Stegostoma tigrinum: one gene and its partners. The protein of the gene in region 2 binds, or shares a complex with, the protein of the main gene of each other region. Links are inferred from orthologs where the notes say so. Each region holds a gene or a part of one and is shown on either strand. Other genes may lie near its edges. The genes, in order: pag1, csk and tyrosine-protein phosphatase non-receptor type 22-like.

What was found.
Region 1: the proteins of csk (region 2) and pag1 are in contact, whole or in part, in an NMR structure (PDB 2RSY), measured with the Rattus norvegicus proteins. The link is inferred for Stegostoma tigrinum from reciprocal best matches to the Homo sapiens genes CSK and PAG1. Residues at the interface, in NP_001025210.1 of Rattus norvegicus: Thr88, Arg89, Glu93, Arg107, Ser109, Thr110, Asn111, Tyr112, Thr117, Cys122, Glu123, Lys125, Val126, Glu127, His128, Tyr129, Arg130, Ile140, Asp141, Tyr156, Asp161, Gly162; in NP_071589.1 of Rattus norvegicus: Phe291, Ser292, Leu294, Tyr296, Lys297, Ser298, Arg299, Glu300, Glu301, Leu305, Ile310, Met313, Tyr314, Ser315, Ser316, Val317, Asn318, Lys319.
Region 3: the proteins of csk (region 2) and tyrosine-protein phosphatase non-receptor type 22-like are in contact, whole or in part, in an NMR structure (PDB 1JEG), measured with the Mus musculus proteins. The link is inferred for Stegostoma tigrinum from reciprocal best matches to the Homo sapiens genes CSK and PTPN22. Residues at the interface, in NP_001291690.1 of Mus musculus: Phe20, Thr23, Gln26, Ala40, Val41, Thr42, Lys43, Asp44, Asn46, Trp47, Ile59, Pro61, Asn63, Tyr64; in NP_033005.1 of Mus musculus: Pro614, Pro615, Leu616, Pro617, Glu618, Arg619, Thr620, Glu622, Ser623, Phe624, Ile625, Val626, Val627.

The regions. Positions count from the first base shown.
Region 1 is NC_081358.1:21,349,098-21,360,394, reverse strand, and holds the start of pag1 (phosphoprotein associated with glycosphingolipid-enriched microdomains 1), read right to left. Parts: upstream 5,041-11,297; 5' UTR 4,822-5,040; intron 1-4,821. Other genes in the region: mrpl53 (39S ribosomal protein L53, mitochondrial), read left to right, coding at 5,419-5,510. UniProt on the Homo sapiens protein: Negatively regulates TCR (T-cell antigen receptor)-mediated signaling in T-cells and FCER1 (high affinity immunoglobulin epsilon receptor)-mediated signaling in mast cells.
Region 2 is NC_081389.1:17,787,297-17,797,674, reverse strand, and holds the start of csk (tyrosine-protein kinase CSK), read right to left. Parts: upstream 4,905-10,378; 5' UTR 4,890-4,904; coding exon 4,864-4,889; intron 1-4,863. UniProt on the Homo sapiens protein: Non-receptor tyrosine-protein kinase that plays an important role in the regulation of cell growth, differentiation, migration and immune response.
Region 3 is NC_081374.1:3,306,596-3,317,060, reverse strand, and holds the start of tyrosine-protein phosphatase non-receptor type 22-like, read right to left. Parts: upstream 5,115-10,465; 5' UTR 5,031-5,114; coding exon 4,953-5,030; intron 1-4,952. UniProt on the Homo sapiens protein: Acts as a negative regulator of T-cell receptor (TCR) signaling by direct dephosphorylation of the Src family kinases LCK and FYN, ITAMs of the TCRz/CD3 complex, as well as ZAP70, VAV, VCP and other key signaling molecules.

The DNA of each region.
Region 1 (11,297 bases), on a different chromosome or scaffold from region 2:
CAATTAGGCATCAGTGGGTGTCTAGTCTTGATGCACAAGCCTAGGAATCTACAAACAGCTGTTTTAATTTGGCTTGAGGAAGTATTTAAATTGTTCAAAATTCACACATTAAATTCTGAACGGTGGGTAGCTTCTAGCACCACTCAGCTTTCTTAGTATCCATTTATGACATCTACTATTCACCTAAGTATATTAACTTTATCAGACTTCAGACTCAAAGTCCACACCTTCCCTATGTGATGCCTTGTCTCTTTTCTCAGGTATTTCAAAACAAATCTACTGTACTTTGATCTAACAAGTACTCACACCTATGTGGCTTAGTTTTTCTCCAATTCACTATTTGGCTTCCCTTTTGGATCTGAGCCCATTACTTCCATATTTCCTTTTTTTTAATTCCTCCAACCATCATGCCTATATTATTTTCTCTAACCTCAGGTGAAATCCTCAATCCTTTGTCTCCTTCCATCTCCTGTTGATTTACCAGGCATTGGTTGCTTTGGAAATAATCACAAAATTATCCTCAGTGCATCTCTTACATCTCCTAAAAGTCCAAAAGACTCAACAGCCAGTTTACCAGTAAAAACTTTAATGGTTACACTCCACTTTCTCCCTGCCCTGCATATCTATCAAAAGATCAGTCTTGCCAACTTTCTTCCAATGTGGGTAACTCTCAATTGCCCTCTGAAATGGACTAGCAAGCCATTAAGTTGTACCAATCACTACAAAGTCTCAAAGGAATGAAACATGATGAACCACCTGACATCACCTCAAGCACCGGAAACGCTAACAGCAGAAACAGCCCTGTTAACCCTGCAAAGTCCCCCGTAGAAGCTATTGCCAAAATTGGGAGAGCTGTCGCACAATCGAGACAAGCGTCAGCCTGACATAGTCATACTTATGGAATCATGCCTTACAGATAATGTTCCAGACAACACCATCACCATCACCATCCCCATCCCCATCCCTGGATATGCCCTGCCCCAACAGCAGGCCAGATCCAGCAGAGGTGGAGGAACAATGGAATACAGTCAGGACAGAGTTGCCCTCAGAGTCTTTAACATTTACTCCAGATCCCTTGAAGTCTCATGGCTTCAGGTTAAACTTGGGCAAGGAAACATCTTGTTGATTACCAGATACCGTACTCTCTCGGCTGATGAATCAGTACTCCTCTGTGTTGAACGACACTTGAAGGAAGTACTGAGGATGGCAAGGGCACAAAATGTACTCTAGGTGAGGAATTTCAATGTCCAATGCCAAGAGAAGCTTAGCAGCAGAACTACTTAGCAAACTGGTCAGGTCCTAAAGGACACAGCTGCTAGGCTGGGTCTGCAACTGGTGGTGAAGGAACCAGCAAGAGAGAAAAGCATACTTGTACTCATCCTTACCAATTTGCAGGTTGCAGATGCATCTGTGCATGATAGTACCAATAAGACTGACCACCACACAGTACTTGTGAGAAGAAAAGTGCCATAATCACATAGAGGATATCCTCAAATCAGGTTTTTGGCACTATCCCCATGCTAAATGGGACAGACTTCAAACAGATCTAGCAACTCAAGGCTGGGCATTCCTGACGCACTGTGGGCCATCAACAGGAGCAGAATTGTACTCCAGCACAATCTGTAACCTCATGGACAACGTATCCCCCACTCAACCATTACTGTCAAGCCAAGGGATCAACCCCGATTCAGAGGGCAGTGTAGGAAGGCTTGCCAGGATCAGCCTAAAAATGAAGTGTCAACCTGAAGTCACCAAACAGGGCTACTTGCATGCCAATAGAGATCAAAGCGATTCCACAACCAACAGATCAGACCTAAGCTCTGAAGTCCTGCCACATCCAGTCATGAATGGTGGTAGATGATTAACTAACTCACTGGTGGAGGAGGCTCCGCAAACATCCCTTTCATCAATTATGGAAGAGCCCATCAGAGCAAAAGATAAGGCTGATGCATTCGCAGAAATCTTCAGCCAAAAGTGCCCTGTGGATGATCCATTGTGGCCTTCTTCAGTGGTCTCCAGCATTACAGATACCAGTCTCCAGCCAATTTGATTCACTCTACATGATATCAAGAAATGGTTGGGGGTACTGAATACTGCAAAGTTTAGGGACCTTGACCACATTCTGGCAATAATACTGTAGACTTGTGCTCCTGGACTTGCTGCTCCTCTAATCAAAATCTTCCAGTATAGTTACAACACTGACATCTACCTGACAATGTTGAAAATTGCCCAGCTTTGTCACATACATAAAAAGCAGAACAAATCCAACTCAGCCAATTACCATCCCATCGGTCTACTTCTGGTCATCAGTAAAGTGATGGAAGGTACCATCAACAGTGCTGTCAAGCAACACGTGCTCAGCAATAACCTGCTCAGTGATGCCCAGTTTGGTTTCTGCCAGGGCCACTCAGCTCCTGACCTATTACAGCCTAGGTTCAAATATGGAAAAAAAAAACTGAATTCTACAGGTGAGGTGAGAGTGACAGCCCTCGATATCAAGGCTACATTTGACCCAGTGTGGCATCAAGTAAAATTGGAATCAATGAGTATTAGGGGGCAAGCTCTCTGGTAATTGAAGTCATACCTGGCACATAGGAAAACGGTCATTGTTGTTGGGGGCCATCCTTTGAGGTCCAGGACATCTGTGCAGGAATTCCTCAGGGTAGTGTCCTAGGCCTAAGCATCTTCAGCTGCTTCATTAATGACCTTCCCTTCATCACAAGATCAAAAGTGGGAATGTTCAGCATCATTTGCAACTTCTCAGATACTGAAAGCAGTCCATGTTCAAATACAATAAGATCTGGACAATACTCAGGTTTGGGCTGACAAGTGGCAAGTCATATTCGTACCACACAAATGCCAGGCTATAACCATCACCAGTAAGAGAAAATCTAACCATCACACCTTGATATTCAGTGGGGATTCAGTGATAGTAACGCCATTATCAACATCCTTGGTGTTAACATTGACCAGAAACTCCAATGGACCCACCACATAAAAATTGTGGCTACAAGAGCAGGTCAGAGGCTAAGAATATTGCACCTCTGTAAGTAACTCACCTCTTAACTCCCAAAGCTTTCCATCACCTAAAAAGGCACAAATCAGGAGTGTGATGGAATACTCCCCACTTATCTGGATGGGTGCAGGTCCAATAATTCTCAAGGAGCTTGATACCATCCAGAATATAGCAACAGCTTGATTGGCGCCATATCCACAAACATCCAATTCCTCCACTACCAATGCTCAGCAGCAGCAGTGTGTACTATCTATAAGATGCACTGCAGAAATTCACCAAAGATTTTCAGCCAGCACCTTCCAAATTCATGAACACTTCCATCTAGAAGGGCAACAGATACATGGGAATACCACCACCTTCAAAGTTCCCTTCCAAGCTAATCACCATCCTGTTTTGGAAATACATCACTAGTCCTTCAATGTCACTGAGTCAATAACCTGGAATTCCCTTCTGAATTGCATTGTGGCTTAACCCACAGCAGGTGGACTGCAGCGGTTCGAGAAAGCAGCTCACCACCAACTTCTCAAGGGCAGTTAGGGACAGACAATAAATGATGGCCAGCCAGCAAAGCCCACATCCCATGAACGTATCTTTAAAATTCTATAAATTAAAGGTATGAAGCTGTATGGGCATAGCGCAGGAAAATGGTGTTGAGATAGATCAGCCATGATTTTGATGAAGGCTGGTGCAGGCTTGATGGGTAAAATGACCTACTCCAATTAGTATGTAACATAATTAAAAAGAAATGAGCTTTAACTGATGTGCATGTAGCGATAAGCATTTTGTCACTTCAGAACTTGAAAAAGCATGCAATATTTTTTAGTACTGTAATGCAGCCAGTTGGAAATGTTTAGTCAGAACCTGCAAACAATTTCACTCAAAACCATATTAAAAAAGGGAAAATGCATTTAGATGTTTGTGTCTTGACTGTGGAAACTATTTCCAAACTACACCACATAATTTTAGAACATTGAATCCATCTGAAGTTAATGGCAGATTTTACAAAATCACTTGCCATTTATTTCCTGGAATATCAGTTAAACATGTAATTCCCAAACAAGCATTTGTTTTTGTCACTCAACATACAAAATAAAATCACTTGAACACATAATGTGGTATCGAACATATAATTATGTTAAACGATCAGTTTTGCAACATTCCACGGTCATATGATCCCGAAGTTATTGAGAGTGAGATAAAGACAGGTATTTAACATGAGATCAAAGAAATCTTTATCTGAAGGTTGGCTAAACCGTTGGAGAAGAAACTATTTTTTTAAAAAATCACGTTTAAAATCAAGTTTGAAGACACCTCCTCTGAACTCAAGTGCAAATAAAATATTTTTGCATTGCATATAATGCTCAACACTACACAAACTATAGAAGATTTGGACCCAAGTCACATAGACAACTGACGCTTTCTAATGAAAACACAAGATTTATTTAGGTTATCTTGCGAACTGCGTGATTTATCGTTACTAAAGGCGAATATACTGTATTTGGCGCACTCACTAAAAATCAAACTATAAACCGTATGATACCATACATTTTTATTTAATTTCAAATGCCCAGCATTTTTAGCCTCGAGCAATTCCACAAATGTCAGTTTCTCATTGTGCTCAAGGCAACGAGACAAAGTATTACGATCTGTACATCTCCGGCGTGAAGAGTACAACCATCAAATCATGAGACTTTCTAGCTACTAGTTAATAGATGTTGAGCACAACTAATAATTTCCATATTTCACAAATCTGGCTACGAAACTGAACGTTTACAAAGGGGATTTTAAAAGAAAAAAAAACTTACCATGAAAAATGATGAAAGAAGTCGCTAAATCTCGCAGCTGCTTCACACTCAAGTTGATAGAGCTTAAGCACGAACATAAACAGCAACTAAAGTAGTCAATTGTAACGTACTGTATATGTAACTGTATGAAGAATAGAGATCACACATTCAGAGCTGTAATAATTTGGTTCCCACCAGGCTCTCCACAGCAGCTACACTGCTGCGATCCTTGGCTCTGGCTCTGCTCCTCCCACACTCAGTGCGACACCCAAGTCGCTACAAACAGCTGGGCAGGGGCGGGGTACGCATGCGCACGCGCTGCCCTGAACAGCGGGATCCACGCTCCGACACAGAGCGCCGCAGGCAGGCAGGCGTCATCAGAGGGGGTGATACTGACGTCATGACGTCCCGCCGCCTGTCCGAACGCATCGCCGACGCTCACCGCAACCTTCAGGTCGCAAGGTGTAGAGCAGGATGAACACAGCAGGCCAAGCAGCATCACAGGAGCGGGAAGGCTGACGTTTCGGGCCTGGACCCAGGGCAGGAAATGGACTGCAATTCCCAGAGCGCACCGCGGGTACCTATCACCCCGCCCCGGCCTCTTGGGAGGCACGTAAGATGGCGGCGGCTAGGGGTCGAGTTGTCCTGAGAACCGTGAAAGAAGTTATTGTGCAGTTCTGTCCCTTTGAGTCCAATGTTCGCGGCGCCAGGTAGGAAAGGTCTCAGAATAAAGCTTCATTTCCTACTCGTTCTTCTGGTGATTTTTGTCTTAGTTTGATAGTTTGCCCCTTTGGTGAAAACAAACTGACTCCTCAACAGAATTAATTGTATTTTCTGGAAGACATGAATCCAGTTGCATGGAAACTGCGGTGCCATAATGGTCTGAGTTCCTATTGTAAATCAATATCAGTATCAATATATGTCCTTCATTTTCGTTTTTAAAATCCAAGCAACTCCCGGTGCTGGAAATCTGAAACAAAACCAGAAATCGCTGGAAAATTTCAGTTGGTCTGGCAGCATCTGTGGAGAGAAAGCAGAGTTAGCGTTTCGGGTCCAGTGACCCTTCTTCAGAGCTGATGGCAACTTGAAAGAAGCATCACTGGACCCGGAAAGTTAGCTCTGCTTTCTCTCCACAGATCCTGCCAGACCTACTGAGATTTTACAGCAATTTCTGTTTTTCTTCCTCCACACTCCGATTATGCCTATGGAAGATTAAATAGCAATGCAGATATTGGAGATTTCTTTTAAAAAAAGCAATATGCTGAAAATCTGAAATAAAATTGGAAACATTTAGTTTATCAGGCACTGTTAGTGGAAAAGAAAGTGGAGCTGAAGCCTTCACTCTGCTTTTGTGTTATCTGGAAAGAAAAAAACTATGCACAGTGAAGCTGAAGATGCTAAGTCAATTGCTGTTACAGGGAGCCACCATGGATATGACTGGGAGAATGGTGTCTGGTGTAGCCCTTTTGTGATTCCATATGCAGAGGATGTGATATATGTGGCCTATCAGAAAAATCTTGAGTTAAATCTCAGAGCCTTCTGACAAAGACACAGGATGGGGAGTCAGATCTATGTAGGTAAATGAAGAGAAATATTGCTGCAAACCAGGATTTAAGGGAATAATTTTGGACGGAAGGGAAGTGGTGTTCTGGAGGAATATGCGCTTGGGCCACTATTGTTTACAACGCTAAGGATTTAGTTCAGAAAGTGAGCTAATGTTGAGGAATTTAGAGTTAATCTGAAATTAAGTGAGGATGGCTATAGCCAATAATATGGGTGACTGCACCAAAATATAAAAAGTCACAAACATGCCTGCAGATGAATACGCAAGGATGAAGATGAATGGTGAACTTACCAAGGTATGGCGGTCTGGTCACCCATATCACTCTGTTTACCACACTTTGTCCTTACATTTTCAATGCCAGTTCACTTTGTATATACTGTGAGCAGACCTCAGTGCCCAAAATGAGATGAAATATAATAAAGTTCCAAGTGCTTCTTGCTGAAATCCTTTTTCGAAAAATCTCATTACTGTAAACCAAAATTTGATGTGTTTAACTTTCCTCAACTACATTATATTTACTTGCCCTAGTCAGTAAAATTGAAGTGTTAGGGAACAAAACTGATAATAGATTGTGGAATGAATTGTTCAGTGCAAATCATCCAGTGATAGTCCTCAGGCTTATGCCACCAAGCAGGGAAATGACAGTCACTTTCTTTTTACACTGTAGGTTTCTTAAAAATGTAAATATTAGGTTATTTAAATAACTTATTAACTCCCAGTTCCCTGGACAGATTGAGATTTTCAATATGTTTATCCACTTTTAACATATATTCATGTCTACTTTTAACTGTAAAAGTATATTTGACTGTTCTCAAAGATGCTCCTCACTTATCTAGATGGTTGGCTTCTTGAAGGGGGCATCAAGCCTGAGAAATTTATTAGCATTCTTTGAAGAGATAACAACAATGATAGATAAGTGTGAAGCAGTGGCTGTAAATGTATTTAGATTTTCAGAATGTTTTTGATAAGGAACCGCACATTACACTGTTTAATAAGTTAAGAGACCATGGTATTGGAGGTCATATATCATCAAGGAAAGAGGATTGGCTAACTAATAGAGTTACAATAAGGGGGACATGTTCAGGCTGGCAGTCAGTAACTAGTGATTAGTGCTGGGGCCATTATTATTTATTTGGATGAGGAAAATAAATTTAAAATTGTGAAGTTTGCAGATGACAAAAATAAGAAGGTGAGTGGTGAGATGATGCAAAGATTTTGCAGGTGGGTAAAGACAGTTAAGAAAGTGGGGGAAATCTTGGAAGATTGAATTTAATTTGGCGAAATGTGAAGTTGTGTCCTTTTTGCCAGGTTGAATAGAGGAGCTGAATATTATTTAAATGGAAAAATATTGATCTTATTTGGTGAAGACTTGATGGGCTGAATAGACTACTTCTGTTCCAAAATCTTAACAGCTGTTTAAATAACTCTTGCAGCTTTCAACTATCTTTTAAAAGGTCTAAAGCTTAAGAATCATGTTTTGGTCATTACACTGATGAAAATTGGATATGATTGAAGGCAGCAATGCTGTAAAATATGGATTTACATCTGAATCGTGATTGACCATTCTTCCCGTTTCTCTGTCTCCGTTGCATCTGTTACAGTAAAACCAATGCATCACTTTCGTTGAACTAAGGATTCTTCCCCACACTGCTTAATGAGACTGGTTATGTCTGACCCATTTTCCACAGTTCTGCCCTCACTGGTTGCCTTCCCCATTACACTCCACCCAAATACACACAGCAATAATACAGTTGCCCTTGTCTTCACTTCTGTGCCATCAGACTCTGCATTCAAAGGGCAACCCTCCACCACCCCCATGAGATTTCACCATGAAAAATATCTTTTCTTCCCTTCCTACTCTCCTATTAGCATTCTGCAGGGGCTGCCCACTGCCCCTCTTGTGCTCAACGCCTCTTCACTCAATGGCACCATGCCATGCAATCACAAAGTGTAGAAGGTGGAAAAACTTCTTTATTATCTCCTCACTGCCCACTGTTCAAGGCTTCACGCGAGCACTATACTTTCAGTCTAGCCAACTGTATCTACTGTTCATAATATAGTCTCTTATACTTTTTTGGGACTAACTGCGACTAGATGACTGCTGTAATGAACATCTCTGCACTGTCTGCAAGTATGATCCTGATCTTCTGGCCACCTGCTATTTCAATATGCCATCTTGCTTCCAGTTCCGTCCTCGTTCCTATTTTAATATTCTATGAAGCCCAACACATGCTGGAGGAATAGCAGCTCATTTTCTGCTTGGATGTTTTACAGCCTTCAAGAATCTTTCCCATCTGTCTCATTTGCTCCTTCTTTTCTGTCCCCTTTGTTTATTTGCAACATAAAACACAAGTTTTCCAGACCTGTTCAGTTCCAAAAAAGTCATATCGAACTCAACATTAACTCTGTTTGTCTCTATCTACAGGTGCAATCACACCTGCTCACTTTGCATTTAACAAGTCTTAAGCTGCACCAGTCCAAGCAACTATTAATTTTGTTATGGATTCAAATTTCTAAAAGCTTTCTCACTACAAAATTAAACTGCCCTACTTTGAACAAGGGTGGAACACTTGCAGTTCTCCAGTCCTCTGGAGCTACCTCCATATCTACATGCACAGTTTCCACCCTTACTTAAGCAGTATCTTGACTGAAACATAGAAAATCCTGAAGAGTCTTGACAGGGTACATTGTGAAAGGATGTATGTTTTTGTGGGATCATCTCGAACTCAGGATCTCTGTTTCAGAATAAGGGGTCACCATTTAAGATGGCGATGAAGAGAAATGCTCTCTCGCAAAGGGTCATGTGTTTGCAGCCCTGCTTCTCCAAGGCAGAGCCTTCGACTATTTTAAAGCCAGTGGTATATAAATTCTTGACAAGCAAGACAGTGAAAGGTTAACAAGGACTGTTGGGAATGTGGGATAATCGGATCAGTCATGATTATCTTATTGCATAACGAACAGGCTTGATGGGCTGATTGTTCTACTCCTCCAAATTCATATGGCATTATAGTTACTTCTCTTAATGCCATTGAATACATTCCATTCAACCCTAGCGACTTGTCTTTACAATCAGCTTTTTAATAGCCGTTCTTTATCAACTTGTCATGCACGTGGTATGTCAACTACCACTGCATTGTTTTCTTTCTTGGTGAAGACAAGTGCAAAGTACTTAATTAGCATCTGAGAGATAACCAAGACAACAAAATGTGAGGCTGGATGAACACAGCAGGCCAAGCAGCATCTCAAGAGCACGTGCTCCTGAGGTGCTGCTTGGCCTGCTGTGTTCATCCAGCCTCACATTTTGTTGTCTTGGATTCTCCAGCATCTGCAGTTCCCATTATCTCTGAGAGATACCAGATCTGTTTTGTGGTCCCTAATTGGTTCCACTCCTCCTTTAACCATCCTGTTGTTGTTTGTATGCCAGAAGAAAATCTTTGGATTCCTGCCTTTATGTCAGGTACCACTTTTTTTTTTCCTCAGACTCTGTTGTTGCAATTGTATTTCCTTTCTCAGCTCTTCTCTGAGCTTTCTATATTCAGCTTGGTTCTCACTTGTGTTAACATTTGACATCTGTCATATAGACCCTTTATCTGATTCATTCTACACTCTACTTTGTTACCATTGAACTCCGGCCTTGATTGTTGTCCCTTCATCATGCAAGAATGTACATCAGGTGTACATGAGCCATCTTTTAAAAAGTAGCTCGTTTGGTGACATTTTTATCAACTAACGTTTGATTTTGTTTACCCAGAGCTGGGCTCTTCAATGAAGTATTTTTCCCTCTTATATTGCTGCTTGTTCGTCTCCCAAGCTATTTCAAACCCCGTACTGTAAGACTATCATCGCAGGGTCCTTGGCATATCCTGTCATAGCAACAGGTAAATGGGACTTGGGGTGGCAAGAACACAAAATCCAAAAGAAATGCGAGACTTCAATCCCTCACCAAGAATGGCATAGTAGAACCACTACTGACCAACTGATCAAGTCCTAAACAATAGAGTTTCTTCACTCAGGAGGTCAGAAAATTAACAAGATGGTAACATTTAATTGACCTTGCTTTCACAGATGTAGCTGTAGCTGATGCCCGTGACATCATTAGGAGTGATGCTACGACCATACCAAACCTCCTTAATATATATCAAGGAGATAGCCCAGACCCTAATTTTTATCTTCTATAAAGGCAAGTTTAAGGTGCTGCATTTCATTTGTAATTCGATGGTCACACTACTAGGCGTTAAGCAAAGCACACTTTATTCTTATCCTACGGTTAAAATACAAACAAAAGAAAGAAGAGTCAGTATAAAAACTTTATTGGAAATCTTAACAGAACAGTAGATGATTTAACTACTAAACAGCAACTGTTCCAACATAGCAATATCTCATAAACATACTTTTGGCAAAGGCAAATTCAGTAAAATAGATTGTCTCACATGCAGTGTTTCTCCAGTCCGGGAGAAAAGATGTGGCTGAGAGAGAGAGAGACGGAGCAACTTCAATAGCCAGCTTCAAAACCCCAACAAATACTGAAACTGAACTAAAACCCTGGTTCTTTGGGAGCCTAACACCACTCATTTTTGCTGCTTGTGTTGTACCAACCCCTCTCCAAAAGTAAACCCAGGACGAAATGCACCTCTTAAAGCCAAATTTCGTCATGGTGCCCATCACACAGTCATTGTGAGCCAAAGTCCTACCTTTACTTGCCTCTGTCATGTAGGCTGAATGGGATAGTTTACAAACATACCATAACAAATGGACATTTATGTGGGGCTGAAAGCATCAGATGCAGAATTGTCTTCAACCACAATCTGTAACTGCATGGTCTGGCTTATGCCATACGCAACTGTGACCGTGAACCCAGGAGTCCAAACCTGTTCAGAAACACTGAGTAATGCCCTTCTGATTTCCCTAGCATCATAGATGCAATCTTCAATCA
Region 2 (10,378 bases):
TCAACTACACTTCTATGCCATGTTTTATGCTGCAGTAGAGAACCACCCTGCCCACTGACACTGCATTGGTTCTGTGGAACTCTACAGCTGTCTCACTGCTCTACTTTAGTTCCCCAGCCTTGGAAGCTTATTTGAGTGCCCAAGCCATTTCCTTTCAACATCAATGTCTCTGCTTCTACCAGCCTTGGATGTACGCAGAAACACCCAGAACAATACCAATCACTTTGTAAAGAAGTTCTCTATTACATCTCCTATATCCCTTGGTCAAGATTTTAAAAATAGGTACTGTCGTCCTTGTACCAGTAACTATTATGAAAAATCTGCCTACTTTATTGAAATCTGACACGCAATCTTGTACACCTCCAGCAAATCTCCCTGCAATCTCTCCTTTGCTCCTGATGTAGATAAAATCTCTCGACCCTGAAATAGCACTGACAAATTTCCTCTGGATCATCGAAAGGTTTCCCGCAACTGTCATTTGACTCAATGAGTTCTTGCGATAACAGATTCCACATTCTCTTCACTTTCCAGGTGAAGTGACTTCTGAAGTCTCTAGTCTCTTTCTGCCATTCTTACATTGATGACTTCTTGTTTGTGCACAAGTGAAATCAGAGCTTAGAAAATAAAACCAGAAGAGATATTAACATCAGCACTTGCTTAATTCTGATGACTGGAAAGCAGCATCCAAATGACAATTCTTGAATTAACATCGTTGTTATCAGTTCTCTTATACTAGGTGCACAAACACTGACAAACTTGAAACTTTACAATTAAAGTTCTCTCAGAAGTCGCTCAGGTTGTGAAACTCAACTGAATACCTTTTCTCACCTCCTCTATTACCCATACAAAAGCAATTATGACATCACTAACCAATAATACTACTCTAATCAGCTTGAAGCCTATGTTCAATAAAGGTTTGCAGTGTACTTTAAAATCTGGGCCATCTATTCTGATCTTGCCAAAGACTGCACAACAATTGCATTAGATCATGTGTATAACCTATTATTATTCACTCCTACACACAGTATTGTTAGAGATATTGTGAGATTTATTGTGTCATGTCCTCAACAAAATAGAAAACCACTTGAACATTTTCAAAAACTGGAAAAATAACAGCAGTCTTGCCAAGTGCCAAAGTATGGAACCAAATAAAAACATTACTGATCCACCCTATGATATCAAGCCCTTAGGAATTTTTTTTTAAAAATTCAAACCGTGGAGCTTTTAAATGGCATTTTCACATGCCAACCTAGCAAATGCGAAGGTAGATCAGCTAAGTTAGTTTCACTGAAAGAAGTTACAAAAAAGTCAACATTCGAGGAAGGAGGAACAGGCAGTCTTACATCACTTTTTCCTGGTCTACGACATTAACGTGACCACATACGTTATTTTGGGTAATTAAATAAAAATTAAAAAGCAATTATTTTAGATTGCAAATTATAAAGCCCTCAATTTAAACTCGTGGCACTCTGAAGGGAACCCCTGAATTCAGGTTTAAATTGATAGAATGCTCTGTCCCCAAGTTTAAATTGATAGAATGCTCTGTCCCCAGGGTTAAATAGGTGACAAATAGATTTTCAGTCCATGTGAGAACGAAGCAGAAAAGAGCATATCCTCACTGCACTGGTGTCAACCTAGTTTCAACCCGGAGCAGGCCAGCAAGGAATCCAGATCCATTTCTGACACCATAGTAATGACTATACTTCAAATATAATACTTAATTGGATGTGGAGCAGATTTTGTTGTTAAACAGTTGGGTCTTACATGTTTTATAAATACAACTTTTTCTTCTTGCGGATAAAGGGAGTTGGGAACTAAAAAGACCTTAAAATCTGGAACCATTTTCTTGAGGAAGGCACTGCTGCAAACAAATCATCTTTTGACTGCTAAAATGTTCAAGGGGCAAAAAGAAGTCACTGCGATGGTCTTCGGAAGTGAAGGATGTACCGTTAAAAATAGGAATTTATTTCACATTATGCAAATTACAAAATTTAAAAAATTGTCCTTATTTCCAAGCAGCAAACAAAACATAAGTTTTGATGTTTCTTTTAATTTTATAACTTGCTTGAAGGAGTAAACATTTGTTTAAAGAAAGCATGAATATTTAAAATGAAATCAAGATAAATACAGGAAATTATCTCTCATTAATTGCAGCTGGTGAGGAATTGCCAAAAGCAGCAAGAAATCCTGATAAAGGTGAATGGTCTCCCCTATGTGATGAATGCAGAATGTACTCCTCACTTTCCAGTGGGGGAGCGAGGGAAACAATTCTCCAGCAACTATTCACAACTCCTTTCGGTAATGGCAACTAATTTTCTTACAAAATATTACATCCAATGTAATAGCACATAATCAACGACACTAAATAATTGGTTAGTTGGGTTTTATAATACATTAGGATAATCAATGGATAACAAAGTGAGGATGGTAAGTGGGATGAGGGGATAAGGAACAAATCCACACTACTGGCATTAAAGTTCAACATATTAAAATTAAAAATTAAATAATCCATGAGATTCAGTTCCATTTATTCAGGTTAAGCCCAGTTTGAGCTTCTATATTTCACTCTGCTGTGTTGCTGTTCCTGCTTTTATTCACTGGAATTATAAAAGAGTAATGCCTTGGAAAATTCATGTCACCATTCCACCAGAATCTGTTATATAATTAGCTTCTACCCGACATTGTTTAAAACACCCAGAACAATCTCCAGGTCCCCCTCCTCCCATAACATCCACATTTCTATTCCTCCCACAGCAAGATACCAGAGAGCAGGAGAGAAATTCAGCACTCTACAATTCCTGCCTTGAATCTACTTTGTTCCTGTAGTCAGGCTTAGAGAACACTAAGGAGTGCATTTCTACACTGCACCAGCACAAGAGAAGTAAATGCCATTTCCAAAAAAAAATATCAAGATCACCATGCACCGCAGGAACCTTTGTAACCATCGAAAATGAAAAGGGTGCAATAATGTCGTGCAGCCATTTGCCAGACAGATTTTACATTCAGAAAAATACTGCACACGTTTGTACAGAACTACCAGAATCTACCTAAATGATGCACTATGTTCCAGAAAATGTAACAGAAAGCCTCAATGTAAGCTCATTTTAAACCAACTAAAAAGTGACGGTACTATCATACAGAAGATAAAAGCAATTTATCACAACTTTCAGGTATTAAACGAAATGAATACAGATCAAGTATTTAAAAGTCATTAATACAATTTATTAATACAGTGATGAAGTGCCACCATCTGGTGTATGCTATAATGCTGTCTGAGGTTTAACCCTTCAGTCACAAAATGTCCGTTATTTGAAACATCTCAAATTAAACATGAAAGCAACAAGAAATTGTGGTATAATGTCTCTGCACACTAACAGCATGAAACAAAATCCAAAACAGATCTTTTCAATACATCATCTTTTCACACCACCTGCCTATCACTAATGGGCAATGCAAGGGCAAAAAGAAATTAGGATATCCTTACCTAAAATTTTCTACAAGGGTACAGAAACTACACAGCTGCAAAGACGAAACAGATCAGAAAGCACACACATAGCCCAGAACACTAAAAGGCTCCCATTTGAAAAATACAGCAATCTGGGACATCTCATTAAAAAAGGGTGGGCAGAATGACCAAATCCGTATTCTCTCAATAAAAACTGATAGAACTGTGGATGCTGTGAATCAGGAAGAAAAACAAAAATTGCTAGAACAGCTTAGCAGGTCTGGCAGTATGTGAAGCCAAAAAAAAAAGTCACATTTCAGATCCTGTGACCCCTCCTCCAGTACTAAGGGCAGGCCACCGGATTTGAAACGTTAACTGTTTTTTTCTTCACAGATGCTGCTAGATCTACTGAGCTTTTTCAGCAACTTTGTTCTTGCCCATATTCTCTCATTTTTCTTGCTCCTACCAGTTATCCCAATGCAACATATCCAGAGTTTCTAAGCATAAGCACAATAAACACTTGCAAACTGCATATCAGACAACACAAAATATACAAGAACTTTCACGTTGTTTTGATAGCCACAGTTCTGCTGGATGACAATATTTACTTGTAGAATTCCAATCTAACAGGTGTGTATGGTAAACAAGAAGGCAGCTGTAGCTGAAATTTCAATACAATAACTACTTTGATGTATACAATATTGTCACGCAGATACAATGACTTCTGAGTTTTTCACAGTTGGTTTCTTCGTTTACAAATTGAAAGAGGGACCAAAAGGCTCTTCCGAAAATACATGAGGGCAAAATGCAAGTAGCAGTCCTGCACATTCCTAACTAAAAAACTACACAAGCTCATAATCACAGACACATTGCAGATTTCTACTCAGTGATTATGTCACAAAACTACCAATTGTCACAAAAATCTGGTTCACTAGTAGCCTTCGGGAACAAAATCGTTTAGCACGTGCCTACAGGCCCACAACAATAAGGTTCACTCTTAACCGCTCTCAATGCTCAATTCAAGAGTTATTCAGGGTACAAAAATGCTGCCATTTCTATCTCTGAAAACTAGGACGACGACACAAGGATTTTTTAATCTGATCTCAGTCTCAACTCCACTTTCCATTCTGTCCTTATAAGCATTCTCTCCACAGTTCAAAAGAACGTCAGTATTGTTATGGAAAATAACAAAATTTAGCAGAATATTGATCTGGTTAATAGCTCTAGAACCCTGCAAAAATTCATTTTTTGGGTTTGGCCTTTCGCATTTCAAAGGCCATATTTGATTGAAAAACAATTTCATGTCTTGAAAATCTTGACTTTAAAAAAGTCCTCCTAAAGCCAACACACCCTTACACTCTTCAAGAACTCTGTCATTACATAGCTCCAACCTTTCTGGCATCTCTTATATGCTTTACCTGACTATCTGGCCACGCGCAGGCATGTATTCAGCCGTCTATTCTCTCCCAAGACTCTTTCCTCCTTTAAGACTCTCCTTAAAAAAAACAAGCAACTTTTAGTTACCCTCAATACTTTTACCACAAAGCAGTGAGAATAAGTTAGCTTAAAAAGGTCACAATAAACAGCTGTTGGTGATCTCTTCCACTGTAACACCAGCTCATTCTTTTCACTCATTGGTTCTTGCAATGACACTAAGCCACTATAATGATGGTTGCCAGGAGACCATGGCAAGTAATAAATTAAAAACTCCAAAAAAAAAGACTAAAATAGAAATAGCTGTATATTTATTTAAACTCAAACACCAGCGTTACGCTTAAAACCAGTTGTTAGGTTCACACCATCTAGATGTTATGCGCTACAGTTTCAGTTGTACGCTATTCAACGTAAAATAACTAGGCCCTATCTATGCCTTGTTTCATCCTCTAAATAGACCTTAGGTTCTGTTTCATCCTCTGCCATGTTTAATGTGGTGCCACTTCATTGAGCGAGCTGCAAAACAGTCAAAAATGCACCAGGCACCAGTGTGGTAAAATAGGAAGTCCTCACGATAATCACAATTAAGAGATCTACAAGTTATTCATGAATCATAGAACTCCAGGACTAAAGAATTCACGTGAAAAATACATACTGCTGATTATATAACACCATACCAGGAGTTGGCAGAAGTATAGTAGAGTTTACAATTGCAACAGATTAATGTCACTGACTTCAAATTGAAGATCTGTCTGCAATAAGAGCTTGTACAGTTTTCAATAAGTACTTGCTCATGAATAGAATCTCAATGACAGTCACAATCCAAGTAAATAACTACATCCATGTACTTTGCATTAGCAGGCAGTAACAAATCAGTGTGTCTTTAACTGTACACAGAGATGTGGTTAAATTATTTAGTGTTAAACCCAAGCATATGCAATAGCTTTTCTTAAATCAAACCCACAAAAGAGGGAACAAATACTGTCAAAGGATCTAAATTGAGAAATAATGCACAGGCAAAGGAGTACCGTAACAGTAAAAAAAACCTTTCATCTTTTCAAAGAAAAAAAATTCTTGTTTGTAGAGGTTCAGTGGAAAACTACTCTAAACCTTCCCAAGATAATCACTGGACATTGGACAAATACCGTACTATCAAATAAATTAACTGGCCAGCCGCATCATTTACGGCTCTGGGAAATAGTGCCACAAGGCATTGTGCTAGATCTAATTAGTCACTAAAATTCACAGTGTGAAGCACGTCGGGTGTTTGAATGTAAGAAGGCACTCCATAATTACAAATAATGATTTTTCCGAGTTACAGAATGTCCTGCATGCATCTTGAAATAGCTTTGTTATTCTACATAGGAAATTTAACTTGCAAAGTGGTGCCAATTTAAACTTTGCCTTTACTGCCTGGATACTCAGTCAGGAGTCATCTTTTAAGAATGAAGTAGCCCTAGGTCAAGACTGGAGCTTGATCTAAACTTACTGGAACCAATCCTAGTGTAATTTACATTGATGTAGCAGCACAGTGTGTGCTTGGAGTTTCTCAAAGTGCTTCACACCTAATTAATTACCAAGTAGAAGAGAATACTGGCCCAAATACAGTCCCCATCATCACAGTAGGTACCTAAATGGTGGGCCTCCCTCACAAACCTAAAAAAACAAGCAAGGACCATCTTTTTAAGTAGCTAAAGGAACCATAGCAGTGTCTTTAGGAAATGGACAGCACGCAATATGACATTTGTCTTGTAGCTCTAAAAGAAAATATTTTGTTTAAAAACTCAGCTCATGTTCCTAGAAAAGACAGCCCCACTAGATGTGAATATTCCAGAAAGCTAATTGGTGAAGACCAGAACTGGGTCCAATCTTTCTATATTTGTAAAAGCACTGACTTACAGTTGCATTTTGCAAACAGATACCACTACTTCAGTCCACATCCAGTTAAAACGGCACAAATCAATTCTCAATTCAGGCACAACACATCCACAATTAAAAGTAATCAACAATGCTTCCAAAGCAAAACATCCTAAATCAAGATAATAGACTACATGAACTTTCCCCATGTATACTCAAGTAAGGTGTAGACACCAAGCAAAATCTAGGATATGGTCACCCAGCCCAAGCTTTTATCCAGAAAGATCTGAATATATTGAAACATGATCGGGTTGCACAAATACCTGTAAAGTTTAGATACTTTAAACATTAACTATAACGTGTTTTGCCTCATTTTAAAAGAAGTGTCTTTCTTGCATACATTAAATCCAGTTGGTTTGACAAATTAAAGGCCAATTACATGGGTTTCAAAATAATCCTACAGCAAACAATAATTCCCAGCAGTCTTTATAAGAGTCACAGTCAGGCAGAAGCAGGCCAGTCCACTGAGCCCACACCAACCATTAAAAAGCATCCCACCTAGCCCCACCCTTTGCTCTATCATCCTGCAATTCCTCATGGCTAATCTAGCTAGTCTGCACATAGGGAAACACGACGGGTCAACGTGTGGAGCTGGAGAAACACAGTAGGTCAAGCAGCATAGGAAAGTGGACGTTTGGAGTTGGGAGGCTTCTTCAGAACTGTTCTGAAGTTCAATTCAGTTCGGAAGAAGGGTCTTGACCCAAAATATCAACTTTCCTACTCCCCTGATGCTGCCTGACCTGCTCTGCTCCTCCAGCTCCACAATGTATCGATTCTGATTCCAATAACTGCAGTTCTTGCTATCTCCTCAACACTATGGGGCAATTTAACATGGCCAATTCACCTCACCTGAACATCTTCGGACTGTTGGAGGAAACTAGAGCACCTGGGAGGAAACCTATGCAGACACAGAGAACATACAAACTCTGCACAGACAGTCACCCGAGGGTGGAACGGAACCCAGGTTCCTGGTGCCTTGGGGCAGCAGTGCCATTTATTGTCTAACCCATCACAATTTTCATTACGTACAAGATAAGGCACTTTTACATATCTAGTGGCTGGTCACAATGGCCTGACCCAATATCAACTGGTTGGATTGCGTTTCAGTACAAAATGTAACATGAATTCTACTATTTTGTAAAATAGTTCTATTCACCAGTCAATTTGGAACAAAAGTTGGCCAGTTACAAGTTTAAGCTCGAGTAATTGTTTCCAAATCTCATGGTAGCAAGCTCACGTGGTGCCTCTGTGTTAAATACACAAAGAAATGACCAAAGCTCTTCAGCAGTCGAATACAGCAAGAGTTCTAACAGGGCCTCAATTCCTCCATATTGTTCAAGGACCCAGCCTGAGGTATACTGATGTGGAGTACATAAGAACTTTTGGATTCACACCAATATAAAAAAACATAAGCAGCTGCTGCTATATCTCCTCCCAAGGAACTCAAGGGGAGGAGTCACTAAACTAGAAACGCACAGCATTAGCGATTCTGTACTTCCAAAGAGGACCAAGATTTACAGTTTTCGTACCCGGCACATTATCTCAGTCTGAATAAACAAAATTATTCCAGACTAGCCTGTCTTTTCCCCCCAAAGCTCTATCCAGCAGAGTTTTGCAACTCTCACCCCTGAATGAAAGATTGGAACTAATACATTTGATTTGCAAACAGTAGCAATTATTTTAGGCTATTACAGCATAATTATTAAAATGTGTAACTTTCACTGTTAGGGAAAAACAGCTAATGCTGTCACATATTAGGCAGTTATTTTTTAAAAAACTGCCTTTCATAAATTGGTTGAGACAAAGATGCTAAATCAGGCCATAGTATTGGTATTATTCGTGCTTCAATTAAGAAATTTCTCTCTATATATACAGCACCAGCCTTCAAAGTAAAGGAACACAGCAGAGAGCTAATTAGCAGAACAGCAACAATACGTCAAAGCAAAAATGATAGCTGCTGATCGCATCACAGCTTGCTCCGGTGCACAATTTTACCATAGGCAGTTAGGCTGGCCTATTCTGCAGACTGATGCAGTACTGACGATATGCACCAACTCCTTCAAACAGATCAGCAGCATTCTGCAGTCACAGCAACAAAACATAGGAGGGCTAATGCTTTGCATTCATATCTCTGCTCAAAAAAAAGACTGACTTTCTGTGCTAATAATCTTAAACATCTCTCTGCAGGTCATTTTCATTTCTTATTCACCAAGGTTAATAAAAATTACTAGGGTGCAATCTCATTTCTCTAACAAGGTTAATGAAATTTTCTGTCCCCCTCACCCCAAATAACAAAATGGTAACTACAAAGACATCCATGATCAACACGTTATAATCGCACAGCACACTGAAGTTAAATTCCAAAAGAACCCACCACTTATGTCTCATTTGAGACACATTGAAGTGCTCAGGCCAGATAATTTCAGCACTCACATGGCTATACAAACAAATAAAATTGACAGTAAATACCTTGTAAGTTATGCACTGTGAAAGACATGGTAAAATACTGAATATGGAAAAGGGAAAGGGAAGCACACCTGACAGATTCTCAGTACCAATACTTGCCTGCAGATCCTTGTTGCTGGTTGCCTGTGAGAGCAGAGGCAAGTATGGCACTTCTGCTGTTACAAAGAAAGATCAGGAATGGACCGAACAACAAAGTCTCCAACGAGTCTCTGGGATTTTGCATGCACTATTTCAATTGTCTTTTCAATATGTTCAGTCCAGTGTGATTCTTCATGGTGTCTGCACTGAAGAAACTAAGTGCAATGCAGATTTTGCACATAGATCACTGGACAGATTCTGATGCAGCCATCAAGCACTCTGTCTTCCAGTTAAATTCCTAGACCAATAATAATCCAGTTCCCCCTCCACAACTGAACCATTTGACCAATGAAAACAGTTTAGCTGAAGGCATTAACATTTTCCGTCTGCAGCTGAACATATAAAATAATATTTCATGCATTCTACCCTCAATTTGCAATGTAACTTTAAATAGCAATCATTTTCTACATCTTGATTTACATCAAATGAAAACAGAGATTTAACAGTAAAGTTGAATTACAAATGATTTGTGAAAACACCAAGAAAATTAGCTAGGCGCCAACTGGGATATAGATTGCTTTCAAAGCCTGTAGAGGACGCAAATGTGAGCATGGGTGGGGTCTGATAATTAAATTTCTGCCTCAGCCAAATTGTAAGTATATGTTTCAGTTCTTCCTTCAAAATTAATTCCAAATTTTCCGAGTTTTTCAAGAATTAGCTTCAAGTTAAAACAATAATGTTCAGAAAAACCACAACATGTATTAACCAGCAGTAATTGCACAAGAAATCAGAATGTAAACCACATGTACTTCATCCAGTGCACCATGAATGCAAATTTAATGGCAAGTAAAATGCACCCCAAACAGTGCAATAGCAATTTCTCATCACCCAGATTTACTAACATTACTAAACAGTACAAGCTGATAATAAGTGCAACTGCAGGAAGTGCTACACTTGCCCCCTGACCACCTCCCTCACCCCCATCCCAGGCCCCAGGATGACCTTCCATATCAAACAGATGCTCACCTGCACATCTGC
Region 3 (10,465 bases), on a different chromosome or scaffold from region 2:
GTATACTCATACAAGAAAAATGGCATGGAGCTACAGCGAGTGATTGGGAAAGTAAATCACAAGTTGGTCTTAAATGCAAAGGAGTTGGAGAAAAGAATCAGGAAGTCTTGCTAAAACTATACAGGTGAGACCACATCAGCAGTACTGCGCACGGTACTAGTCTCCATATTTACTGAAACACACATTTCCTTAAAGTACTGGTGTACAGAGCAATTGTAGTCGCCACACTTGTGGCCTGTAGTGAGACCCAGATTGTGTATCAGCTACAAGCAACAGTATAAGAGAAATTCCATCAGTAATGCTTCCGCCACATGCTCCAGATTTGAAGGGAGACTGTCAACCAAAGGCCAGTTTGCCTCCTGAAGCCAGCTCTATTAGCATTCAGATAAAACTCCTGCAAGGTCAACTTTGGTGGAGGGCGGCTCCGTGGTGAGCACTGCTGCCTCACACCACCAGGGACATGGGTTTGATTCCACCCTCAGCCGGCTGTCTGTGTAGAGTTTGCACATTCTCCCCGTGTCTGCGTGAGTTTCCTCCGGGTGCTCCGGTTTCCTTCCACAGTCCAAAGGTGTGTAAATTAGGTGGATTGGCCATGTTAAATTGCCCGTGCTGCGCAGGCTAGGTGGGTTAGCCAAGGGTCAGTGTGGGCTGAATAGCCTGCTTCCACACTGTAGGGAATCAATGAGTAGATACTGAATCTGGATGGCCAAAGAATATCTCCTGCATGATGTCATGTTTTGTCACCTCTCAAATGGCCAGTGATCTGGCGGGGGGAGGGGGGACAAAGAAACTGCTTCAGACTCACTATGAAGTGCAGTAGCAATGACGTTGACAGTGAGAAGATCGTTACCAATTGTTTAGATGGTGACAACTTGTCCATCAAGCCAGGTCAAAGTTTGAGTCCCCAGTGTCTTATAGATGAGGCAGAGGAGTGGAGGAGAAGACAAGCAAAAGAAGCACATCCTGCATACTGAGTCCCGCTACATCGAGGCACATCCTGTCCTGAGTGCTCAATGATCTGCAGCTTCGAAGTCAGCCTGTTCAGTCACATGATAACCCATGACTCATGACACTGAATGGGCTGGTGGGATAACCCCTACAAGGCCCACAGGGAATCATTAGTTAGATTCATAGAATCCCCTTAGTGCCGATAGAGGCTGTTTGGTCCATCAAGTCTGCATCGAAACTCGGTTGATCATCCCACCGCCGTAACCCCGCATTTCTCATGGCTAATCCACCTGGTCTACATATTCCTGGATATTACAGGGCAATTTAACATGGACAGTCTACCTATCTGCACATCTTTGGACTGTGGGAGGAAACCGGAGCCCCTGGAGGAAACCCACACAGACACGGGCAAAATGTGCAAACTCCGCGCAGTCATGCGAGGCTGGAATTGAACCCGGGTCCCTGGCACTGTGAGGCTGCAGTGCTAACCACTGAGCCAAAATCTCCTTGTGGACCTCGGTGAGTACGCGTTCCCTTGGTTACAGCCTGTGCAGCTGAAACTCCTGTTAAGATCACAAATTCCGACAGTGTGGAAATACGCCTTTCGGCCCGTCAAGCTCACACCGACCCTCAGAGCATCCCACCCAGACCCATCTCCCTATAACCGAACTAATCCACACACCCCTGAACACTATAGGCAATTTAGCGTGGCCAATCCAATTAACCGGCACATCTTTGGACTGTGGGAGGAAACCAGAGCACCCGGAGGACACTCACGCAGACACGGGGAGAATGTGCAAACTCCACGCAGTCACCCAAAGGTAGAATTGAACCTGGGGTGAGGTAGCAGTGCTAACCACTGAGCTACCATGCCATCCCAAGCCGGTTAACTGAGGTCTTAGCAGAGGATTGCAAGGGGATCTTGTGGTGCAGTGATGGCTTCCCTACTACTAAACTGAGAGATCTGGGTTCAAGTCCTCCCTGCTCCTGAGATGTGTAATAATATGTCTGAGTAGGCTGATTAGGAAAATAACACAAACCCAGGTTGTAGTTGATAATTTAAAAACAGATTTAACAAAAGTCATGGTGATTTCATGGTTGGAAAGCCATTCAGTTTTGAGTGATAATATGTATGGATATAACAAGAAAAGAATAAAGCAGACCTAGAACTGTCTGTTCCAGAGTGGCATGAGCCTACATACACCATGAATAGTGGCACTGTTTTGGCATTCAACAATAAATGATGTTCCTTTCCAATAAGGCTTCCTGAGTTATTACAACGAGTATCCTTAAATTGAAGGACATCTGCTACCAACATTGAACTGGCAATGAATAAAGGTTCACTTGATTGGACCCTGGGAATGAGAGGGTTCTCCTGCAATGAGAGACTGAGTAAACTGGGTCAACATTTTTTGCAGCTTCGAAGAATGAGAGGTGAACTCAGTGAAACATGAAGGATTTGGAATGACTCGACAGGATTGATACTGAGAGATTACTGCACAGGTTGAGGAAACTGAGACATGGAAATGAGGAATCAGGGATTTTGGGAGTAAGTGAGAGAGGTGGAGTTAAGGGTGAGGATCTGTAATGGCTGAAATTCTGAAGAAGGGTCCAGACCCGAAATATCAGTTTTCCTGTTCCTCTGATGCTGCTTGCCCTGCTGTGTTCATCCAGATCTACACCTTGTTGTGTTAACTTCACATCCTTTTATGGCAAAAAAAACTCACCATTCAAAACTTTTAAATGATTATTAAGCTTGTATCTATTGCTTTCTGTTGGAGACAGTTCCATCATGCTATCAATCTTTAAATGAAGTATTTCTCCATTCCTCTCCTGAACTGCCTGGTTCTCCCTTGAAGCTTACACCCTCGTGGCCTGGATTCGCACCTACCAGCAGGAACAGCCTGCTTTCTCCCCTGCCGATTTCTGTCAAAATCCTAAAACTTAAATCAAAATCACCCAAGGAATACAAGCTGAGTTGATGTAATGGTGATAATGGGAACTGCAGATGCTGGAAAATCCAAGATAAGGTGAAGGGCCTAGGCCCAAAACATCAGCTTTTGTGCTCCTGAGATGCTGCTGGGCCTGCTGTGTTCATCCAGCCTCACATTTTATTATCTTGAGTTGATGTAATGTCTCCTTATAACTGATGGTTTGGAGAACTGGTGTTGTGGTTCTTCCAAAGGCAGAGGAAGCATATTTAATACTGATCTCCAAAAGGAGAATTCGGTAAGAAACAGTGTTTGCAGGCTGATGGGGAAAGAGCAGGGGAGTGGAACTAAATAATGAGCTCCGAAAAAGAGCCAGAACATGGACCATGGTTTAAATGATCTCTGTTGTATAATCATGGGCTACAGAGTACAGATGAAAGCTTGTGGACATTTTGATGAGGCTGAATTCTCTACATTCAGTCATCCAGCTATACTGTTGAAGTTCCTGTGGCCTAGAAAGCCATTTTGAACGATCTTCCGTTATGTTGTTTAGTTGTCTGTGAATAGCTACACAGTACTAAAAATAAACCAGTAACTTAACTTCAAAAGTATCTTCAAATCCCTTTAATGGCCTGCCATTTTATACCTTTCACTGCTCTGCAAACAGTGTCGAAAAAATTATCTTCTGACAAAAATCGTAATTAAAAGGGGTTGGAGTAACTTTGGTCAGAACTATACATGAGTTTAACTTTATAGAAAAGGTTTGTAGTGAAACTTAAATCCCAGGGATAGAGTCTTTCATCGGAAGGAAGCCCCTGAAAAACGGCAAATGTGTACACACAAGAATTCAAGAATTAAGTACAGGAGTAGGCTGTTCAGCCTTCTGAGCCTGCTCTGCCATTTAATAAGGTTGTGGCTGATATGGTTGTAGCTTTAGGTCCAATGTCCTGTCTGCCACCACCCCCAGACCCCTGTAACCCCATACTTACTCATTGATCAACACTCTGTTTAACCCAATGTCCCAGTCTTCCATGCTTTCTGAGTGAAACAGGTTCAAAGACTAATGATGACATTCTGATGAAGGGTCAGCGGACTTGAAACGCTAACTCTGCTTTCTTCCCACAGACACTGCGAGACCTGCTGAGTTTCACCAGCAATTTCTGCTTTTGTTCCAAAGACTAACAGTTCACTGAGAGAAAGATATCCCTCTTTGTCCCTCTCTTAAATAGGAAACCCCTTATTTTTAATTTGTGTCTCCCGATTCTGAACCACTCCACAAGGGCAAACACCCTATCTCACCAGACCTGGCAAGACTCCTCAGGACCTTCCATATTTCAATACGATCACTTCTCATTCTTCCAAACTCTAAAGGATAGATGTCCAACTTGTTCAATGCTTCATGGTCATACAAGCAGGAAGCAGCAAAGTGAACTTTCTCTGAACTGCTTCTACCGTGACTTTTTTCCTTTCTTATGTAAGGAGATCAAAACGTGACACAGCACTCCAGGTCATCCTCACTGACCGACTGGCAAGGACCTAGTTTATACACTCACATATTCCTGGGTTCCCCTCTATCTACTACAGATACACTCGCAGGGACCAGTTATTATTCATAGTCAGACACCTCTAAGCATGAAAACTGCCTCAGATTCTACTTTCTCTGTAAAAACTGAACGTCGAATGCAAACATCCGCAGGACAGAATTCCGAGTCACAAGCGACTCGTTGCTCTATCTCTCGATAGCGAACGGGCAGCCACTCAATGGGCCGAGCGATCTCCTTCCGCGCCCCAGCCACTTACGGTCTTTAGTTGATGGCGGTGAAAACTGTTCCTCTTTCAACTCTTACAATGCAGTAAAAGATCACAGAAACCCGAGTGCGAGACCCTGCGCTCAATGAAGAAGCAGGAAGCCCTGTGTCAGGTCTGAGGGGAGACAGCGGGACTATCTCCTGTCTCTAACCGACTCAGTCAGTTCCCCACGTTCAAAGAAGGCAGAGTGTCCCTGGACAGCGGTACCTCACTCTCTGTCCCTCAGGCTCGCCTTTAGCAGAGCAAACTCAATAAGAGACTCACCAGAAACTCCCCCGAGGTTATCTCCTCTTTGTTGCGCACCTGCCTGAGGAACCTCACCAGGATGGTTCCTTGGTCCATGCTGACAGCTGGCGAGCTGCTGGTAACTCTGCCCAGCGACTGCGGGACATGACAGAGGCTGAGACTTAACTGGCCTGAAAGGCAGGACTTTGAACTGCATATCTGCGGTTTTAACACAAGCAGGAGGGAATCAGCAGTCACTGTTACTGCGGTCAGAGAAGGGAAGAGAGACAGGCTCTCTGCGGGTCCTAGTGCCTCTTGGCGATGGCAGACAGTATCTGCATTGTTTGGTATACGCTCGTGTTTTTTTTGGGCGCCTCTAAAGTTTTACACCCATTTTCCAACTCGAGAGATTGCTCTTTTACATTAAAATATTTAAGTTAGGGAACTGTGATTGATTTGTAACAGCTTGTATTCTGTGAATGAACAAAAATAAGACATACAAAGTGACGCACTCAAGACATGCACACACACACACACGTACAGACGACAGATACACAGACATACATACACATAGACGCAGATACACTTACACACACATGTACAAAACACAGAGACAGACAGACACACAGGGACAGACACACATTCACAGTGCACACACACAGACATACACAAACACATACAGGCACAGATATGCACATAGACAGATACAAACTCACAAACAGATACACTCACAGACGGATACATAGAGATATATGCATGTAAAAGGACCATAGCTAACACATACCTCACACAAATACACAACCTCAGAGACTCACAGCAACCCCATCCCCCAGAAATATAACCCCAAACAAATTTTCAGTCTCCCCTACACACAAACAACACCCTTATTGGAATAAAATGCTTCAAATCACTTTACAATAATACTTGTAAAGACAAATTTGGCATGTAATATGTTACATAATCTTGGATATCTAATCCATTTTTACTTTTATTTATATACTTCTGTATTTTATTTCTGCCTGTTCTGTGTGTGTACTATAGGGTGGGCAATTTCTATGTGTTTACATGTGTGTGTTTATTTGGTTGTTTGTGTGTAGGGGAAACTGAAAATTTGTTTGGGGTTATATTTCTGGGGGATGGGGTTGCTGTGAGTCTCTGAGGTTGTGTATTTGTGTGAGGTATGTGTTAGCTATGGTTCTTTTACATGCGTATATCTCTATGTATCTGTCTGTGAGTGTATCTGTTTGTGAGTTTGTATCTGTCTATGTGCATATCTGTGCCTGTATGTATTTGTGTATGTCTGTGTGTGTGCACTGTGAATGTGTGTCTGTCCCTGTGTGTCTGTCTGTCTCTGTGTTTTGTACATGTGTGTGTAAGTGTATCTGTGTCTGTGTGTATGTATGTCTGTGTATCTGTCTTCTGAACTTGTGTGTGTGTGTGTGTGTGTGTGTGTGTGCATGTCTTGTGTGTGTCACTTTGTATGTCTTATTTTTGTTCATTCACAGGATGTGGGCATCACTAACTGGCCCAGTACTTGTTACCCAGTCCTAGTTGCCCTTGAGAAGGTGGGAGTGAGCTACCTTCTTGAACCGTTGCAGTTCATATTCCATCAGTAGACCCACAGTGCTTGACATGAAGGAATAAGGAAGGGAGGTGTGCATTTTTTGCATGTTGTGCATATCTGTCTGTATATGTGTGTCTGCCTGTGTGTTTTGTGCATGTGTGCCTGTGTGTGGGTGTGTATATCTAATTATGCTTGTGTGAGTTTGTGTCTGTCTATGTGTCTGTGAGTCTGTCTGTACTTGTGTCTATTTGCCTGTCCATCTATATGTTTTGTTTTTGTGTGTGTCTGTGAATGTCTTACCTGTGTCTATGTGTTGCCTCTCTGTGTGTTTATGTCTGTGTGCTTTGTGCCTCTGTGTGTATGTTTGCGTCTGTGTTTGTTCTTTGTGTGTGTATGTCTGTCTTACGTTTTGTGCTTCTTGTGTTTGTCCATGTTGTGTGCATATTTGTGTTACTTATGTCTATGCGTCTGTTTGTTTGACTGTCTGTATATTTCCTGTCTGTCTGTGTGTTTTATGCCTGTGTATGTGTGATTATGTGTGTTGAACATGTGTGAATGTGTTTCATTACTTCAACCTCCTTGGTTCAGTTTTAAATGTTGTTCAGCTGTAAATTCATCTGATTCTGAGCACAAGCCCATACCTTTCTGTTTTTTTTCCTTTTCATTGTGGATGGGGCTTTAATAACTGCCTAAGGAGATTGCAAATGCTGGTGGGAGAGGTCAGAGGAAAAGTAAGCTTCTGTGACTCATCATAAAATTTGAAAAGAATCTAGAACAAGGTAAACCAGACAAAAACGATTCAGTAAGGTTTAGATAAATTGGGAAAGCTGTCTCATGGACTAGTCAGGCAACAGCCATGCTCACAGAATATCCCTTTACTGACAATATCCCAGACACCATCATTACCATCCCTATCCTTGGATAAGTTGTGTCCCATCAGCAGGACAGACCCAGCAGAGGGAGCGGCACAGTGGGATACAGTCGTCAGGGAGCTCCTCTGGGAGTCTTCAACAGTGACTCTGGACCCCATGAATTCTCGTGGTTTCAAGTTAAGTCTGGGCAAGGAAACCTTCTGCTGATTATCACATACCATCCTCCCTCAGCTGATAAATCTGTATTCCTCCATATTGAACAACACTTTCGGAAGCACTGAGGGTGGCCAAGCTGCAAAACGTACTCTGGGAGGGAATTACAAATTCCACCACCAAGAGTGGCTCAGCAACAGTACGACTGATCGAGCTGATCGGGTCCTAAAGGACAGAGCTGCTAGACTGGGTCTGCAGCAGGTGGTGAGGGAACCAACAAGAGAGAAAAGCATACTTGACCTCATCCTTACTAATCTGCCAGCTGCAGGTGCATCTGTCCATGACAGTATCGGTAAAAGTGACTGTCACACAGTCCTTGTGGAGACAAAGTCCCACCTTCACATTGAGAATAAACTCCATCACGCTGTGTGGCATTATCATCACACTAAATGGGACAGACTTCACACAGATCTAGCAACTCGAGACTGGGCATCCATGAGATGCTGTGGGCCATCAACAGCAGCAGAATTGTACTCCAGCACAATCTGCAATGTCATGCCCTGCATTTTCCCCCATTCAAGGAGCTCTAGCAAAACTGGAATCAATGGGTATCAGGGCAAACTCTCCACTGGTTTGGTTCATTCCTGGCACATAAGAAAATAGTTGTGGTGAATCGACATCAGTCATCTCAGCTCCAGGACATCTCCATAGAAGTTCCTTAGGATAGTGTCCTAGGCCCAACCATCTTCAGCTGCTTCATCCATGACATCCCCTCCATCACTAGGTCAGAGGTGGGGATGTTCTTCGATGATTGTACAATGCTCAGCACCATTCGCGACTCCTCAGATACTGAAGCAGCTTGTGTTCAAATGGTACAAGAAATAGATAATATCCAGGCTGACAAGTGGCAAGTAACATTCATGCCACACAGATGCTAGGCCATGGCCATCTTCAATTAGAGATTATCTAACGACCACCCCTTGTGTTAGCATCAATGAATCCCTCACTATCAACATTCTGCAGGTTACCCTTGGCCGCAAACTCAACTGGACTCACCACATAAACATAGTGGCTACAATGGCAGTTCAGAAGGTGGGAATATTGTGACTAGTAACTCACCTCCTCACTCCCCAAAGCCTGTCCATCACCTACAAGACACAAGTCAGGAGTGTGATGGAATATTTCCCATTTGAGTGCAGCTCCAACAAAAGTCAAGAAGCTGGAAACCATCCAGGATAGAACAGCCCGCTTAATTGAAACAACATCCACAAGCATCCTCTCCCTCCACCACCTATGCTCGATGGAAGCAATGTGTACCATTTACAAGATGCACCATAGAAATTTACCGAAGCTCCTTCGACATTATCTTCCAAACCAACGGCCACTTCCATCTAGAATGGCAAGAGCAGCAGATACATGAGAACTCCACCATCTGCTAGTTCCCCTCTCTTCGACTGAGAAAGTAAACTGCTTGGTCGTATGCAGAAAGAACTCCTTGCATTATTGAAGAAGACCAGGATGGTCCTGGTCAATGTTTATTATTCATCAAAGATATTTGCATTAGGGTCCTTGCTGTGCTCAGATTCAAGAATGATTTATTGGCTGCGCAGTAGTGAAGATATCCCTGAGGATGTGATAGCAGTGATATCAACATGAACCTTGAATTATAATAATAATTTCATTCCAAGAGACCATCATGCTAATTTCAGAGAGATTCCTTGATGCTTTCTTAAAATACTGCATGACAATTTCCTTCATATTCATTGATTTGGTTCTTTGCTGCAGGACAATTGCTTGGAACAATATGAAAACAGTTGAGTCAATGCAGTGTGCAGCTGGAGGAGCACAGCAGGCCAGGAAGCATTAAGGGAGCAGGTGAGTTGACGTTTCAGGTCAGGACACTTCTTCAGGACTGTGGAGGGGGAATGGAGCTGGGAAATGAATGGGGGGGTGGGATTTGGGCTGGGGTAAGGTAGGTGGGATGGTGATAGGTGGGTGCAGGTAGGGGGCTGTGGAGATAGGACATGGGAAGGGTGGGGCAGACAAATGGGAAAGAAGATGGACAGTTTGTCTCAGGTCAAGGAGGCAAGGATGAGAAGGAGGGTTGGACATCGGATGAGGGCAGGGGTGGGGAGAGCTTGAAACTGGTGAATTATATTTTGAAGCCATCGGGTTGTAGGCTACCGAGGTGGAATAGGAGTTGCTGTTCCTCCAGTTTCCGTGTGGTATCATTGTGCCACTGGAGACATGTCACCCAGGGAGTCGGAGGTTGAGTTAAAATGGTTGGCAACCAGAAGGTGTTCTTGACAATAACATATAGAGCGCAGATGCTCCATGAATCAGTCACCGAGTCTGCGCTTGGTATAGAGGAGGCCGCTTCAGGAGTAATGAATACAGTGGGCAAGGCTGCGGGGTGTACAGGTGATCCCCTGTCAGATTTGGAAAGATTGTTTGGGGCCTGGGATGGGGGTGAGGGGGGAGGTGTAGGGGCAGGTGTAGCACCTCCTGCGGTTGCAGGAAAAGGTGCTGTGAGTGGAGGGGTTAGTGGGGAGTGTGGAACGGACAAGGGAATTGCGGAGTGAATGGTCCCTGTGGAAAGCAGGTAGGGTTGGGGAGGGAAATATCTCTTTGGTGGTGGGGTCGGATTGCAGGTGGCAGAATTGGTGGGGGATGATCGGCTGGATGTGGACGTTGGCGGGGGTATGTGAGGACTGGGGCAGTCTGTCCTTATTTTTGTTTGGAGGAGGCAGTTTGAGGGCAGAAGTGTGGGAAATGCAAGAAATGCATCACTGGAGGGGGGGTGTTGTGGTCCTTGGTGAGACCAAGCGCAGACTCGCTAACCGATTCGTGGAGCATCTGCGCTCTGCAGCACCTTCCAGTCGCCAGCCACTTTAACTCCCACTCCCACTCCCTGGATGACACGTCCATCCTGGGCCTTCCCCAGTGTCACAATAAGGCCACAC